2 linked regions of the Struthio camelus genome follow. The main gene of each other region encodes a partner of the protein of the gene in region 2 in a complex. Links are inferred from orthologs where the notes say so. Each region holds a gene or a part of one and is shown on either strand. Other genes may lie near its edges. The genes, in order: CAMK2A and LRRC7.

Region 1 (7,364 bases), on a different chromosome or scaffold from region 2:
CCTGGTCTGCTGGCACCCTGAGGTCCCTTTTAGGACAGAAAACTGCTCGTGGCCAACCCGCTCCTCCACTGTTTGGCTTTGCTCCCTCCCTAGGGTTCCCCATCACGCTTGGACCATAGGAGATGAGTTCTCGCTCTTCCCAGCAGGCCAGCAGTGCAGAGGTTGTCACCCCAGCTCCCTCCAGCTCTCCTCCTGGCAGCTGCCTCAGGGATGCCCCGCGTCAACCCCAGCGGCTCACTGGACCACCCTGGGGCACCCAGGAGGCTGCGGCTGTGCTGCCCTGCCAGCAGACTCGAGGTGCAGCCTTTCACCTCTGTGGCCTCGCAGCTCCTCTGGGATGCTGCTCCTCTTTGGGGTGCCAACGGGTACCGTGAATCACCCCAGCCCCAGGGTCATGCCTTGAGGAGGTCCTTTCCTGGCCTCGCTGGCCACACTTCTTTGCCCAGCAGCATCTGCTGTGATTCCCCCTCGATTTAGCCCAATCTTTCCCATTGCCCTGTGGTCCGGAGCCCTGCAGGGAGCAGCTCATTGGAGGGGCGAGCAAAGTGTCTGGGAGGAACGTCATTCCCCACTGTGGAGCTCATGGCACCGGACTGACGAGGCAGAAGGAGCACGCTCTCACTCGAGAGGTACAACACTTCATCTGGATTTCCTGTTCCGAGCCCACAAAATGGGAATTTCCCCACTGGGAAACCGCTGATTTTGCAGAAACCACATGATGCATTGGAAACCATCCCAGTGGAAAATTCCCCACCAGCTCTACAGTGCACTGACTTGTGAGCCCAGAAAAGTCCACCGAGGCCTATAACTTACTCGGGAGCATGTCTCAGCGCTACAGTGGCATCTGCCTCTTTCCAGCTAAGGCAAAAATCAGTAGGATGCTCTGAGCTCAAGCAGCTCCCCTTAGCACCGAGAATGAGCAGCTCTGCCACTGCACCACCGCTCTCTAATTGAATCAGGCCGCAGCAGGAGGGAGAGGTTAGAGCTGCCTGTCGGCAGGGACAGATGCTCCTGGGAGCTGGCGAGGGCCTGCATCTCTCTGGCTCACAGAGCTTGGCTGAGGGTTTGGGATGAGCTGTGCAAATCCTGGCTTTCCCCTGCTGTCAGCCTGCTTATTTGTGTACTTGCAGAAATGCAGCTCTCAACATGGTCCGTCACAGTGGTGCCGGCTGGGGCTCTGGGAACTGCTCGGGCTCCGCGCTGATCTCGCACCCCGCTGTGTCGCGTGCCTGCCTAGCAAAGCAGTTGTACCCTCAATGCAGCAGCTCTTCCGGCCCTTCCCCATCACACCTTTGCTGACAGCATCTTGTCTGTGGCCCCTCACACTATTTCTGCCCAGCCAGCTCCCAGCAACTTCCCTCCATGCCACCAAGTGGTATCTCAGCACCTTCAGCTGCCACCTCTCCTGCCCACCCCGTGACATGCTCGCAGCGTCTCGGAGCTCGGAAGAGCTGCGAAACCTCTGGAAACAGCAGGTCCCAAACCCCAGCTTGCTGCCAGCTCCGCGGAGGGTGCTCGCCCCCCTGCCTGCAGTGCCGGCACGGCCTCCCCGTGCTACGGAGACCTGGCCACTGACTCACTGCTCCGCTCCAGCACCTCACCCCAGCAATGACGCAGTTGCCAAGCTGGGCGAAAAGCACCACACGCTGGGGCACTGCGCGGCTGACCTGTCTCCAAGGGGACATAAAGCCACATTTGCACATCCTGGTCCATTCGCTTCCAAGGAGCTGCACTGGTCTCTAGCAGCAACCTGGTCCCCCTATCTGGATGGGAAATAATAACCGCATTTAACCTGGTGCAAAGTCCTCCCTGATTTTATCCCCTTGATTTCTCCATCTCTGTCCTCTCCTTTCTTGCTCTCCCCCATTTTGCACACCCACGCAGGCGCGCGGGCACCGATTTAGGCACAGGCTCACCCTGCGCTGTGCAATGCAGGCATGCAAGGCTGGAGCAAGTTTCCATGCCTACAGATGGACATAACTGCACATTCGAAACAGATGCGCTCTGGCATCCGGCAGATACACCCCCCCCAGTTCGGAGACAAAGCCGTGACACGCAAGGCTCTCGGGGAGCCCCTCCGAGGGAAAAGCAGCCAAACGCCCCAGATTTACATGCTCCTTTGAAAAAGAGGCACAGAAACCAAAACACAGACACACGCCTGCTCACCCGTGCATGCAGACGCACTCCGATGCGGAGCATCCCTCTGCCCGCACGGGCGACCTGAATTGCTGCTCCGCCCTGGGGTGCTCAGCACCCCGCAGGATAAGCCCACCAGGCAGTTGTGCACCGGCACATTTCTCTTTGCACGCACGCACCTATGCGCACCTACGCGCACCCAGATCGGCAAAGACCTGCACGTGCAGGCACCGTGACCAACCCCCGCCAGGCGAGCCCTCGCCGGCAGCAAAGCCGCGGCAGGGCTGGGCGATGGCTCACCCGCGGGGTGCTCGCACACCGGGGTGCCCCTGCGGAGCTGCTTTCGGCAAGCGCCGGGGATGTGGAAGGGATGGATGGCAGCTGGCTTCGCTGCCTGCTTTCTCCGGGAGCTGCTGAGCGGGTTGGGGCTCCCACAGCACCCGGGGAACCTGGCGCAGAGGATTTCCCTAAAGAAACGCGGGGGGCACCAGTGGCTCAGGCTCGCCTCTCCGCTGTCCCGTCCCTCCTCGCAGCTGCGCAAGTTGCCAGGTGCCCCGGCAGCAGCCTCTCCGAGGAGCTGGGGTCTCTCCTCCGCGAGAGGGGTCCCGTTCCCGCAGCCCCCTCCCCGGACCGCTCGCGATGCCGCGGCACGGCCCGTCGCCGAGCAGCCCCGGCGGGCGGACGGACGGAGCCCGGTGCCTTTTCTCCCCCGCGGCTGCTCCCGAGGCTTTTCCCAGCCGGGTGAAGCCCCTCTGCCGCTCCGGGCGGCCGGGGAGCATCCGAGCCCCGTCTCCAACTTACTTGCCCAGTTCTTCGAAGAGCTGGTATTCCTCGGTGAAGCGATTGCAGGTTATGGTGGCCATGCCGCGGGGCTGGGAGCGCTCCCTCCCCGGCGCCGAGTTCGGTGCGAGTGCCTCTCCTCTCACTCCCTCCCTCTCCGTGTGCTCCCGGGGCTCTCTCCTCGCCGAGGTAAATAAGGGAATATGTTTGATTGACAAGCCCGGAGATAATGATGAGGGCAATTTGTCTTCTCAGCCTCGCAAGCCTTCGTCAGCATCCCCGTCCCCATGGCGACCACCTCTGCCAGAAACGCCCTGTTTCTGTTGCCGGGGCAACTGCTTCCCAAAACGCGGGGCTCGGCCGGCGCCGCGGGGACCAGGCCCTGCCGGGCTGGGGGTCGCTGGCTCGCCGGCGGGGGGCAAAGCTGAAGACGCAAACGTTAAAGGCAAACCGAAGGATGTGGCGGCAGAAGAAGAATTAGGGCAACCCCCCCCCCCCCCCAAGGAAGCAACAAAAAAAAATCAAAAAACCAAAAAAAACCCCCAAACCCAGGTTTCCATGGAAACCACAGATTCCATGTTGCAGGAGGGGACGGACAGGCTGCCATCACCCCGGCAACGGCTTTGCACCCCCAGCCCCGGCCACTGCCGCCTGCGGCCCCTGGCTCCGGCCGGGGCCACCCGGGCGCCGGGCGAGGGGGGGCGCAGTGCCCAGCGGGGCCGGGACCGCCGCCGGCTCCCGCGCTGCCCAAGCGCCCCGCGCCCGCCGCGCCGCCCCCGGGGAAGAAACGCTTTTGGGCTTTCATTTCCCTGCAATGTCCAGCCAGGAGCAGATTGCGGGGTGGGGAGGGATTTTGGAGGAGGAAGGTCTCCCTTTTTGTTTTAAAGCCTCCCAGCGGGCGCTCTGCCGGCTGAGGCGCTGGAGGAGGCTTTGACAGGGTGGGGACCGGGGCATGGCAGCACGGGAGCCTTTCTCCCGAGTGTTTCTCCAGCATGTGAATTAAGAATAAAGCCTTTTATATCTGTGCCACCCAGCCCTCCCTGCCATCCCCCCCCGCAGCTGCTCAGATTTCAGTCTCCGGCTGCTTCTAATGGTAAGGTCACAAACGGAGCCGAAAATCCACCGAGGACGCGTCTCGCAAATAACGGCAAGTCAAGCCCCTGGGTGTCTAATGCTTAAAAAAAAAAGAGAGAGAACATTAAAAAAAAAGGAGTGAGCCCTGGGACCTGAGGCCCTGGGGGAGAGGTTTCTGCCAGAGCCAGCCTGGGGCTCTTCGCCGATGCGGCACCAGCACCCTCTCCTCCGGCCCCCGGCTCGTCCCCGCCACCCTCCTCCTTGCTGGGGTTTGCTCCGGGCTCGCAGCACGGCGAGGCCGCCAAGCCCAGGCAATGCCATAGTATCCTTATCCCTTCCGTTTTTGAGTCCAGATTTACCCCTATGGGTTTGCCCCAAAGGTCCATCGACCCTGACCCTGTCCCCTGACACCCTCCCGGCTTCGGGCCTTTTTGTGCCTGTCTGACCCCCCCCCCCCCCCCCCCCCGCAGGGGAGTTTTCTTCCAAGTATTTTTCTAGTTTCTGGACATTTTGGCAGGACTATCCATCCTGCCGAGGGAGCAGCGTGGAGGAGCCCCCGCTGCCGCGGGAGAGGGGAAAGGACCGCTGCAGCAAGGCCTCCCGCAGCCCGCCGGGAAGGAACTGCTTTTGGCAGACGAGATTGATTTAGTTCCCTTTCAGGCTGCCATGGAAGGGTTAAAAGGAAAAGAAAAGGCTCTAACCAGACAAAAATAGGGAGAAATCTTCGAGAGGAGAGAGAGAAGGAGGGGCGGAGAGAGGGAGAGAAGAAAGGAGGTGGAAGTGGAGGAGGACAGCAAGTGGCTGAGTGAGGAAGAGGAGGGGGAGGAGGAGAAAGGTCTAATGGCTTTTCCATTAATTGCACCATTACCCACTTTCATACCCACCTTTTCCTTCCCGCGCTCCAGCCTCCCGCTCCGTGCCCCGGTGCACCGGCGAGACGGGGGCCATCGCAGCCTCCCTGCCCAGCCGGGGCCGAATTCCCGGGCGTTTTTGCCTCTGAGGTGACTAACCAATGCTGCTTGCTTAAATGATGGTGGAGATGGCACGGAGGCTCACTTGTCTCCTTGGGGGCTGCCGGCCTCCTGACCCACCCTGGCCGTGCGGCCGCTTGTGGACAGCGAGCCGGGCCCGCCGGCACCGCGGTTTTGGGTGAAGCCGACGCTTCCGTGTGACCTGTGTCCCGGGAGTATGCGCTGTCCCCAAAACGCCCCCCTCTGCCTCAAGACCCCCCTCTCCTCTCGCCATCCAAATCCCACGGCGAGCTGCAGGGCTTTGCCGCGAGGGAGCCCACTCGGAGCGGAGGGAGGCAGGAGCCCGCCCGCACGCGCACGGCTCGCTCGCCCGCCCGCCTCCGCGCGTGCCCACGCGCCCGCGCGCCGCGCTGCCCGCGGAGCCGGCACGCGGGCGACGCCGGCCGAGAGCCCCGCAGGGAGCTGCGCTGCGAAGCCCCTTTGGGCGGCTCGGACTCTGCCCCGAGGCTGCTCCCGCCCCGCAGAGCGGTGCCGCTTGGCCAAGGGTTTCTCCCCTGCTCACCTCTTCCCCACCCATTTTTTTCCTTTTTCATCAGCGTTTTTCCTTCGCCGGGTGGGGGGGGTGGGTCTTAGGTTTCGGCGGGTTGAAGATGCTCTGAGTTGCCCCTGAAATTTTCCCCCATGGGCAACGCTGCTTCGCTAAACTCCCCATTTCCTGGGGAAGACATGAAGCGAAGCAGGCGTTTTGGGGGGGAACCTTTCCCACCTGGGGCTGGGTGCTGCCGGCAGGAGGTCTCTCCCCACCCCCGGGGACAGGGAGAAGTCCCAGACCCCTCGCGGCGGTCTCGGGATCTCTCTTAGGAAAGCCCGCCGCGGTCTTTTGTCCAGGGCGGCTGGAGCGAGCTGCGTGGCCGCCCCGGGTCGCGCTGCGGGGCTCTGGAGCTCCCGGCAGGCCCCTCTCTGCTGCTGTGCTGGGCTCTCGCCGCCTGATGGAGACCTTCCTCCCGAGCGCCTCCCCGCCATCACCCTGGCTGCCTCGCCAGAAACGCCTCCTGCTCGCCCACGCGCACCCTTCGGCTCCGCGCCCCGCTGTCCAGTGCCCGCATCCCGGCTGGGCTGCAAACGGGGAAGCCGCGGGGCCTCGGCTGCGCCCTTCCCCGCGGGGACGTCCCCCCGTTCAGCCCCCCGGGCCGGGGCGCTGCGTCCTGCCCCTCCGCCCGCCAGGCACGAGACGGGCGACTGGCCCGTGGGGCTCAGGGACGGCTCAGCCTTCAGCGAGCAGCAGCGTTGCCCGGGGGGGGCTGCGGCAGGACCCCCCTCCTCCCAGGGGACAGGGGCTTACGCGGGCCTAAGAGAGCCTGCAGTTATGTCTCACATGCAAAACAAGCGGAGCTGCGATTTACATATTGCAGAGATCCCAAAATTACTGGGACAGTTTCACACGCAAGCTGGGGTCTGGGGGATGCTCAGTTGATGTCCTCTGGAAAGCTGAATTCTTGGTTATTTTTAGATAAGGATTATAAATACCATGGCAAGGAGAACAGATTTACATTTAAGGTTGTGTTTTCAAATGTGCCCTGTCCCTGCAGGCCCTGCTGCTCCCTCCTGCTGCCCCACAGCAGCTCAGCTTTTGGTGGGGAGGGGGTGTCCCCAGGGCCACTTCTTCCCTGGACACCAGGGTCCTTGGCTGGAGACCCGCAGGAATAGGCCTTCTGCAGGCAGGATGCTGGGTGCGTGGGGACTGCCACCAGGCGCCCTGCGGCTCTCTTGGGCCATCACTTGCCCTTGCACGCTAGCTCCACTCTGCCACGGGGAAACCTCATATCCTCGAACCCCTGGTAGGAGAGAGGATGCAACCACCCTTGCAAATACAACCCCCTTATCTGGACCATCCGCTCCTCGGCATGAGTTGCCCACGGCATGTGCCCTCCTTGCTGCCCTCCCACGAGGGCAGTTATAAGGAGATGTACTTTCCTGCCTTGACGACCCCACATGCATCCCCCTTCCCCATCGCCTCCGTGGGAATCTGCCCCGCACTCAGCTCCCAGCCCAGGATTTTAAGTAGACTTTGGCTTGCGCTGATTTTTCAAGAGCGGGAGGGAAGGAGTGAGGAGAGCTCTCAGCTTGTCTGTGTAAACAGATCTCCTTGGTGCGAACATCGCCGGCAAGGCAAAGAGCTCCACAGCCAGCTTGGCAGCGTCTCGCCCACCGGCTGCCTTAACCCCTTTGCAGCCGGAGCTTACAGGCATCTTAAGGGGCTTGAACTGTTCCAAAACACGTGATCTTGGCACATCATTTCGTTTCTCCCCATGCCTGGAGCTGCCCTGCGCTGTGCTATCCCAGGAGCCATCAATAAGCAGCGGTGGGACGGGGTTGTCCCAGAAGAGGCAGTGAGGTGTCCCT
Region 2 (7,687 bases):
TTTTCCGTAACGTTTAAACCAGTCGAGCTGAAAAGCACATATCCGACCAACGAAGATGCGCACTAAAACACTTAGGACTTATCTGCTGTCAACAAATTGCTGCACTCCCAGAAAAAAAAAAAACGGATAAAAAACTAGCAGTTCTAAAGGACTTTTCATAGGATTTGATGCAATCTGCCATGCCAGCAAATTAAAGCCTACAGAAATCACTAAAATTAGAGAGAGGCCAGATGAAAACTGAAGACGCGCAGTGGCTCTAGGAGATCTTTAAATAGAGCTTAATACAACATTTGGGGGCCTAGTCTGTGCTCAGCTTAGTCCTACTGGGTTGTTAGTTTGTATCATAAAGCAGCATCGAATATTTTTGGTATAGTTTTCTATATTACATTTCACACGGTTTTCAATACGCACTTTCAAATACCTATACAATGGGCCATCTTCTTTGCCAAGCGTCTACACTAGTCTGATGGATTAATACACTCTCACGTAAAGGAAAACATTTTTTCTTATACTGGACAGTCAGTCACGTGAACGGGTAAGTCACACCATTACAGGGTTTTGTATTAGTTGAACGCGTAGTACACTAAAATTCACCATTTCTGAAGCATTATCCAACCTTCACTGCACATCATCAGCCCTCCACTCCTATCGGCAGTCTCAGACGCTAAATGGCAACTCCTGGGAAACAGCATCCGTCTCACGGCCCCCTCGCATCCGATCGGCGAACCCCATCGGCCAGGGCAAAAACCGCAGGGACGGCGTGTGGCCGGGCGCAGAGCTGCCCCACAGCCCCCGGCGGGCACACGCAGCCTCCGGCCGCCCGCACGCGCCGGGAGCTCTGCGAGGCGGCGGGGTGGGCGAGTGTCTGTCTGCTGCCTGCTTCCATATGTGGGTTAATCCCTATTTTCTGGGTTTAGGCTGAAGTTCAGTGCACTGCAGTATTTCCCATCCCTGGCGTCCGTTTTAAGACCAGTGCACACAACCATCACTTTGTACTGATGCACATACCTCAAGGGCAATTAATTCCTTGTTAATCTGAAGTTTTGTGGCTTTAACGGCAAGCACACACCGCTGTCTTGAAATTCCAGATAGTGGACAATCTTCCTTTTAAAATGCCTTTCACAAGCGTCTACTACTTAAAAAAAATTTTAATCAATGATTAAAAAGTGTTGATAAATTCTTATGGGACCAAGGAGTGAAGAATTTGCTCATCAGCACACGCGACTCCTTCCTTTGATGGGCTCCCACAGTTGCCACAAACACTGTTCCTGCCATCTTCCGAGCAGCTGCCTGCAGCCAGGCTCCGCAGAAAGAAACAGTTGCTTTTTACCTGCTGTTCCTTACTTGTTAAACAGTTGATATATCATTTACAATTATTAACGATTATCTGCAGAAATTGGTTTAATATAAAGCCTTTTTTAAATATGCGCATCATTTGTATAACAAAACCACACAAAAAAGCTCCTCCTCTGTGAGATATTAGAAAAAAATTACTGTTTGCGTGACTGAGAAACAGTTTTCCACGTCAAGCTTTAGCAAAGGTTAAAGTTCAAATGGGCATCAAGCTATCATGACACATCAAGATATCTGATTACAAGATCACTAAATTAAAACAGCTTTTAAAGTACAGACTGCTTGAAAACAAAGAAACCTTCTTTCACTGGTATTGCACAGAAAGAAGAATACATGACCTTCTCCGAAGTCCGACTCCCTTTCCCTCTCATAAAAACCTACTTATGAACTGCAGCAGCATTAATGTTCTTATCAAAGAGGTCATGTTTTCCAACATACACAGTTTATTTATAATTATGTAGATGCTGAAATCAGCCTGCTGTTCATATTTCTTTAAGAAAGTCTTGCTACTTCCAAGTGAGTAGCTGTAATATGTAATCTAGAGGTTGCCATGGCAAGCATACATTCTCGGTTGGGTATCACAGTAAGCCGATGCGTAAGAGCAAAATCCACGAGATTAAGTCACTTCTCTCGTCGCGTAACAATGAGAAAAATGCATTTATCTATCCCTAAACACCAAAAGCACCCAGAACACCTCAGGGTAAAAATCAAGAGTGGCACGTGGCTCAAGCTTTTAGCTGAAGATCAGAGACGTACAAAAGAAAAAATGATTTAATTATAGCAATAGGCAGCCTAGAAATAGCCAAGGTATATATTATTTTTATCTCCCCAAAACCAAGAAACTTCCAAGGGCGCTTTCCCTGACACGACCCTTCACCAGTCCAGCCGCGGAGACAAACCCTGGCCAAGCCCGGCCATCTCGCCGGGCGCTCGGTGCTCGCGCCCCGCGCCGGCACCCCGGCCGGCGGCGGGGGAGCTGCGGGCCCCGACGCCCCGCGCCTGCGGCCCACCGGCACGCGCCGGGGTCCCGGGGGTGTCCTCCAGACTCAACGGGAATAAGGATGAGCTCATACCTATTGTCCTACGGCTCTTGAATTACAAGCAAGCAACTTCCAACACACGCTACCCTTCCTCCAGGCGGTCAAGAGGCAAAAACCCGACGGTGTCGGAAGAGAGCTGACGGCGTTTAAGCCCCACGGGCGCGAGGGGCGCCCCGGCCGCTGGAAGGCGACGGCTCCGCGCTGCTGCCCCTCCGCATGCCTCCGCCGGGCGCCGATGCTCCCGCGCAAGGTGGGAACGCTGGAAAGGGCGCAGAATTTTCCAGGAGCTTTGCCGAGCTCGAGGGCTTAGTTGAGGGAGGTGAAAGGCAGTGAGGGTGGAAACCCCCCGAGGCGGCGGTACCGCGGCGCCCCAGCCGCCGGGAGAGGCGGGCGCGCCGCTCCCGCAGCCCGCAGGGGCGCCGGGCCCGGCCCCGGCGGCGCCGCGGGAGCCGCCTCCCCGGCGCAAGTGCTGCCGCGGCTCCGCCGCCTCGCTCCGCGCCCCGCGCAGCCCCGGCGGGGCCGCTCCGCCGGCTGCCGCCCCCGATCCGAGGAGCGGCGGCTCCGCGGCCGCCGGGGCAGCGCGGCCCCCTGCGCGCCCCGCGCCCCCCGGCCGCGGCGGTACTCACGGTGCAGGCGGGAGCGCGCGTCCATGCGCCGCCGAGCCGCGGTCCGGGGGCGCGGAGCGTGCGGGGGCGCCGCCAGGGCTGCCCGCGCCCGCGGCTCGCCGCCCGCCGCCGGCCGCGCCGCGCCGCGCAGGACCCGCCCCCGTGCGCGCCGCGGGGCGGTGCCCGGGCTCGGACGCGGAGGCGGCGGCGGCGGTGGCGCGGGGCGGGGCCCGCTGCGCGCCCGCGCTGCGCTGCGCGGCGGCGCCGCCCGCCCGCCCGCCCGCTGCCCCGACGGGGCGCCGCGGCCCCTTCCCTGGCCGGCGGCGGGAGCCGGTTTCGGCACCTGCACGAAGTTGCGTTTCGGCCCCGGCCTCCGGGCCCCGCCTGGGGCTGCCGCGGGGAGGGTGCCCGGGCTCAGCCCCGGGGCAGCGGGGTGGCCAACACCGGCGCGGGTGGCCTGCTGCGGCCCCCGAGCGGACCGTCAGTACGGCGGGCAGCAAGAGGTCGCGCGCGTCAGACCTTCGCTTACTCACGTTAGATGACTTGGTGTCATATCGGTGCACGTTTGGAGTTACTGGCCGTTGCTGGGTTCTCTGTGCAGCTTCGTTGGCGCGCTGCGGAGCGGTTATTGCAGCCGGCAAGTTATCGCGGGGCAAACATCAGGCTCTCTGCAAAGCCTGCTTCGCACCTGGCGTTCAACATTTGCTGTCCACCTCCTCCGTTGCTCCTCTCGGAGGTTTCAAACGTTCCCCGTCGCGGGTGTTGCAGGGGGCGGCTCGCGGGCAGGAGCCGGCAGCAGCCCCGGGGTGAGCGTGCCGCAGGCTCCCGGCAGCGGGGCAGTCGGTGGGCCGCACTTTGCTGGGCAAGTTCCCAACCCGACTTGCCCGGCAGTACGGCAGCTTTCTGCCATCAGAGAGGGAAAGCGTTTATTAGGAGCTGGAGAGAATCGTCAGAGACTTAATGCCCGGTACAGAGGTTTTCATCCCTGTTCGATGTGGCTAATCCCCACGGCAGAGGTAAGCTCTTCCCGCTGACAGCATCTGTGGCGGGCGGGCGGGCGGCGGAGGTCGAACGCCTCCCGCGGGAAGGCAGCTGGCGCGGACGCTCCCCTGCCCTCCTGTTCGCCTGGATGACTGGAGTGGGAACTGAAATCTGGCCCCAGATAGCTTTGCTCCACCAAAATTTGCCTATTCCGAAGCAGCTATTGAACGGTTTCATTCCAGCCTGGGATGCAGTCTTCAACTTCAGCAACAAAGCGTTTGTTTCCCCAGTTAGTTGCACTCTATAACCCTACGAGGCTTTAGTTATCATGCGTTTTCTCCAGGTTGGTTCCTGGGGTTTTGCGGCCCCAGGAAGGCAGGATGCATCTCCCCCGCTGCACGCAGCCGGCCGCCCCTGCGGCCTCCGCGGGTCTAGCCAGCGCCAAGCCGAGTCCTGCCCGTGGCCTGGGGCACTCGTGGAGTTACCGCACTGAGAAACGAGCGTCGCACACCGCTGGGGACTCGGCCAAGGGACAGACAGGCTCCGGCCCTCCGGGGAAGGCCAACGCCAGCCCACTCGGGAGCGACGAGGGCATGTCAGGGGCAGCTTCTGCTAGGCAGATGATGCAGATTTATCCCCCGCGAGATCGGCCGCACCACGAGAGCATAGGGTGTGTTATAGCAGGGAGTTCCTCTCATACATTCTCTAAAAACCTGTGAAACATCTCCAAGATTTTGCAAAATAAAAAGCATTGGAACCGGCAAACGCCTGGAAAACTCTTCTCCTTACCAACAAAAGGCAGCTGGATCCTTCTGCCCGGTAACGGCAAGCGTTGAGAGGGAGAAACCCTCAGGCATTGCCTTGCCAGAGCTGCAGCCAGAGCAGGGAGAAGCAGGAACAATGCAGGTTCTCCGGAGATGAGGAGAGGATCAAGGCCCCACGAAGGCGATGGCCCTAGAAGGGGCGTGTAAGGGTAGTCCAGCTCTAAAGTTAGGGCTTTAATTCCTGCTCCACAAGACTGAGATTTCAGCATTAATAACAAGACTGTCCTCTTCCAGACACCAGCCCTGAATTATCATCCTATCGTCTCCTATTGGAGACCTTCCTGAGCCTCTTGTGTTTTTCCCATGGCCTTTGCAATGGCGTTTCCTGCTCTTCCATCCTCAATTTTGTCTATGAATAGTCATTGCAATGTACTGTAGGGTCATTTTCATCAATGCAAGACATGCAGACATGCAGGGCGGTGGGGAGATGCTGCAGAGATGGCAACCAGCGCGAGACCCTGGACAGACTGCCTGCCTGCTTGGGCAAAACCCAGCTCTGCTAGAGGCAGCGGAGGGGAGCAGCTCCAATTTCAGTGGCCACAGCTCTTGCCCATCAGGCCAGGGGCCGAAATCGCCAGCGCAGGAGCGTGCAGTGCCCGAAGGAGCCACCCGAGTCCTAACGTTTCTGCTGTGGTTGTGGCGAGGGACCTGCTCATCCCTCCGACTAGCGAGGCGGGCTCACGATGCAGCCCCAAGAGCAGTAAGTGACAAGTTCTGCACGACAGCAGTAGCTGTAACCCTACCCATCTGTATATGCCCCTCATGAAACAAAATTCAGTGCAGTCGCTTTCCGATGTTTGACGCTGCCTTATCCAGGCTCGAGCGCTGGCCTCCCAAAGCTGCGGCTCTGCCCGGGCCGAAGAGCAGCAGCGCGCCCTCGTCGACTCCTGCAGCAGCCGGGGCTGGGAGGTTACAGCTGTACCCGAAACCCAGCGCGGGGAAGAAATCCATTGACTCCGCAGTAACGGAAAGGGTCCGAGTTCATAGCTGGGGATGATTTGTACACTGGAAGGGGAAATGGGATTCATACAGGACCTTTAGGGATGAAGAAAACGAGGGTAACTTGATAGACTCTGAAGTGTCATAGTTAAATATATAAAGGTGGAAAATGGCTGTTGCTGAGCCATGGAGCTGGACTACACACTCGTATTCAAGGTAGGCAACTTCTTAACTACCGACAGTGTCTGGTGCTGAAGAATCGCTCCTCGAGTAACTCCACGAGGCCTGGAGGAGCTGCAGTGCTGACCCGCGGCCTCCCCGGCCCCGCTCGGGGCAGCTCCGGCTGCCTTACTCCGCTGAGCAGCTGGCGCTTTTGTGCTTGCCTCTCTGCACTGCTGCCTTCGGCGCCGAGAGCCACTATGGCTAGCAGGACCCAAATGAACAAGAGCTGAATTACTGTAGTCACATATATTTGTAAAACTTTGTTGTGTCACAAGCAGCTGCTGCATTACGCCGCTATACTGCAGCGCAAAAGGATACATTTGCAATAAAACCGGAATTAGGCTATGACAATCACTAAAGAAATAGCATATGGTTAGGTTGAGATATTGCATCCCTCTCAGGGAGTACAAAGGAGTCTGGGAAAAAAAGCATGATGTTTTCGTTACGTGATTATCACTGTACATGTGTTATTACTTCTGTTTATGGATAACACGGAAGTGGTTGAGTATCACGTAAAGAGCATCATGAATCCTGAATCACTGCTTAATTCAAAATCCTGATTCTGCTTAGTCTTACATGAGTTTCATACTGGTTTCATTTCAACTAACTTCAGTGGAGACATGCCAACTCTAGACAAATAAAGATGAGGCCCAAATATTTGCTTTATGAAAAAATGTGGATCTGGGGCATATCCCTAAACATTGCTCAGTACAAAAATGAAATTGAATAGCTGAACAAGCACACAGCCTGGGCTTCAAGATGTGTAACTCAATGTATTTTCACTGGCCTACACAGGTAAATAACCCCCCCTCCACAGTGATTTCTATTCATTTGTAGATCTGGCTAATGAAAGTTTTAAAAGAACGAAATTCCTCCAGCAAATTGTATTGGAAAACGAGATGCCTTCCTTGACTGAATTCTGCAAGTCTGATTTTACTTGGGTCCGTTGGAGTTATACTAGCCAGGAAGACAGCCTGGTCAATCAGAGCACTGGTTGAAAACTGGCTAAGACTGGAATAAAGTATTTTTTTCTCATTTTTAAAAAGCCTGAAATATATGGAGAAACAATAGTTATTAAGAATAAAATTCTTTAATAAATGGTGATGCTACATAGCTTTGAGAATTTTCTCTACAGAGTTCTCCATATATTTTTTTCCTCTGGTCGCACTAAGCTCTCTCCAGTGCTACTTTATATATTTCTAAATGAGGAAAATAATTCATTTTTGGAGGTTTTACGGTTCAGGTCGGGAAGAGTGGATGAGTCAGGGATTGCTATGGTGTATATGGGTGTTGGGTTTTTTGCCCTCTTTCTAAATAGGTGAAGGCAGACGGTAACTAAAAGCCCAGTCAGCTACTACAAAACAGTAACTGCCTTCGATTCCTGGTTGGGGCATACAGCAGCATTTACCTATTTTCTGGCCTTTTCAAGAAAAAAGCTGAGAGATCTCTGAGTCCATGAAAAACCTTCCAGACACAGTGCTGGAACGGTGACACGCGGGAGGACTGGAAGAAGGGACAGATTACAGGAACAGACCTCGCTTTAATGGTCCCTCACACCTTTCTGCGTACTGCAGAATTTAGGAGACTGTGCAGAGAGGTGTGAAAAAAGTGTGATTAAAAGGAAGAAAACATTTTAACAGAAACTAAAAAGCAGGCTAACATAAGTTTAATTTGACCAGTGCAACTCCTACCCCCAAAGTGCAGGCTGCCACCTTGGTAACGC

The links.
Region 1: the proteins of LRRC7 (region 2) and CAMK2A are in contact, whole or in part, in a crystal structure (PDB 6X5G), measured with the Homo sapiens proteins. The link is inferred for Struthio camelus from reciprocal best matches to the Homo sapiens genes LRRC7 and CAMK2A. Residues at the interface, in NP_001357714.1 of Homo sapiens: His843, Gly844, Arg845, Arg846, Pro847, Leu848, Ile849, Arg850, Gln851, Asp852, Arg853, Ile854, Val855; in NP_001350919.1 of Homo sapiens: Glu96, Phe98, Glu99, Ile101, Val102, Lys137, Glu139, Leu159, Phe173, Ala174, Gly175, Thr176, Pro177, Gly178, Tyr179, Leu180, Ile205, Gly209, Tyr210, Pro211, Pro212, Phe213, Trp214, Tyr222, Gln224, Pro233, Glu236.

Annotation. Positions count from the first base shown.
Region 1 is NC_090954.1:7,423,602-7,430,965, forward strand, and holds the start of CAMK2A (calcium/calmodulin-dependent protein kinase type II subunit alpha), read right to left. Parts: upstream 3,149-7,364; 5' UTR 3,000-3,148; coding exon 2,938-2,999; intron 1-2,937. UniProt on the Homo sapiens protein: Calcium/calmodulin-dependent protein kinase that functions autonomously after Ca(2+)/calmodulin-binding and autophosphorylation, and is involved in various processes, such as synaptic plasticity, neurotransmitter release and long-term potentiation.
Region 2 is NC_090949.1:37,447,078-37,454,764, reverse strand, and holds the start of LRRC7 (leucine-rich repeat-containing protein 7), read right to left. Parts: upstream 3,118-7,687; 5' UTR 3,045-3,117; coding exon 3,020-3,044; intron 1-3,019.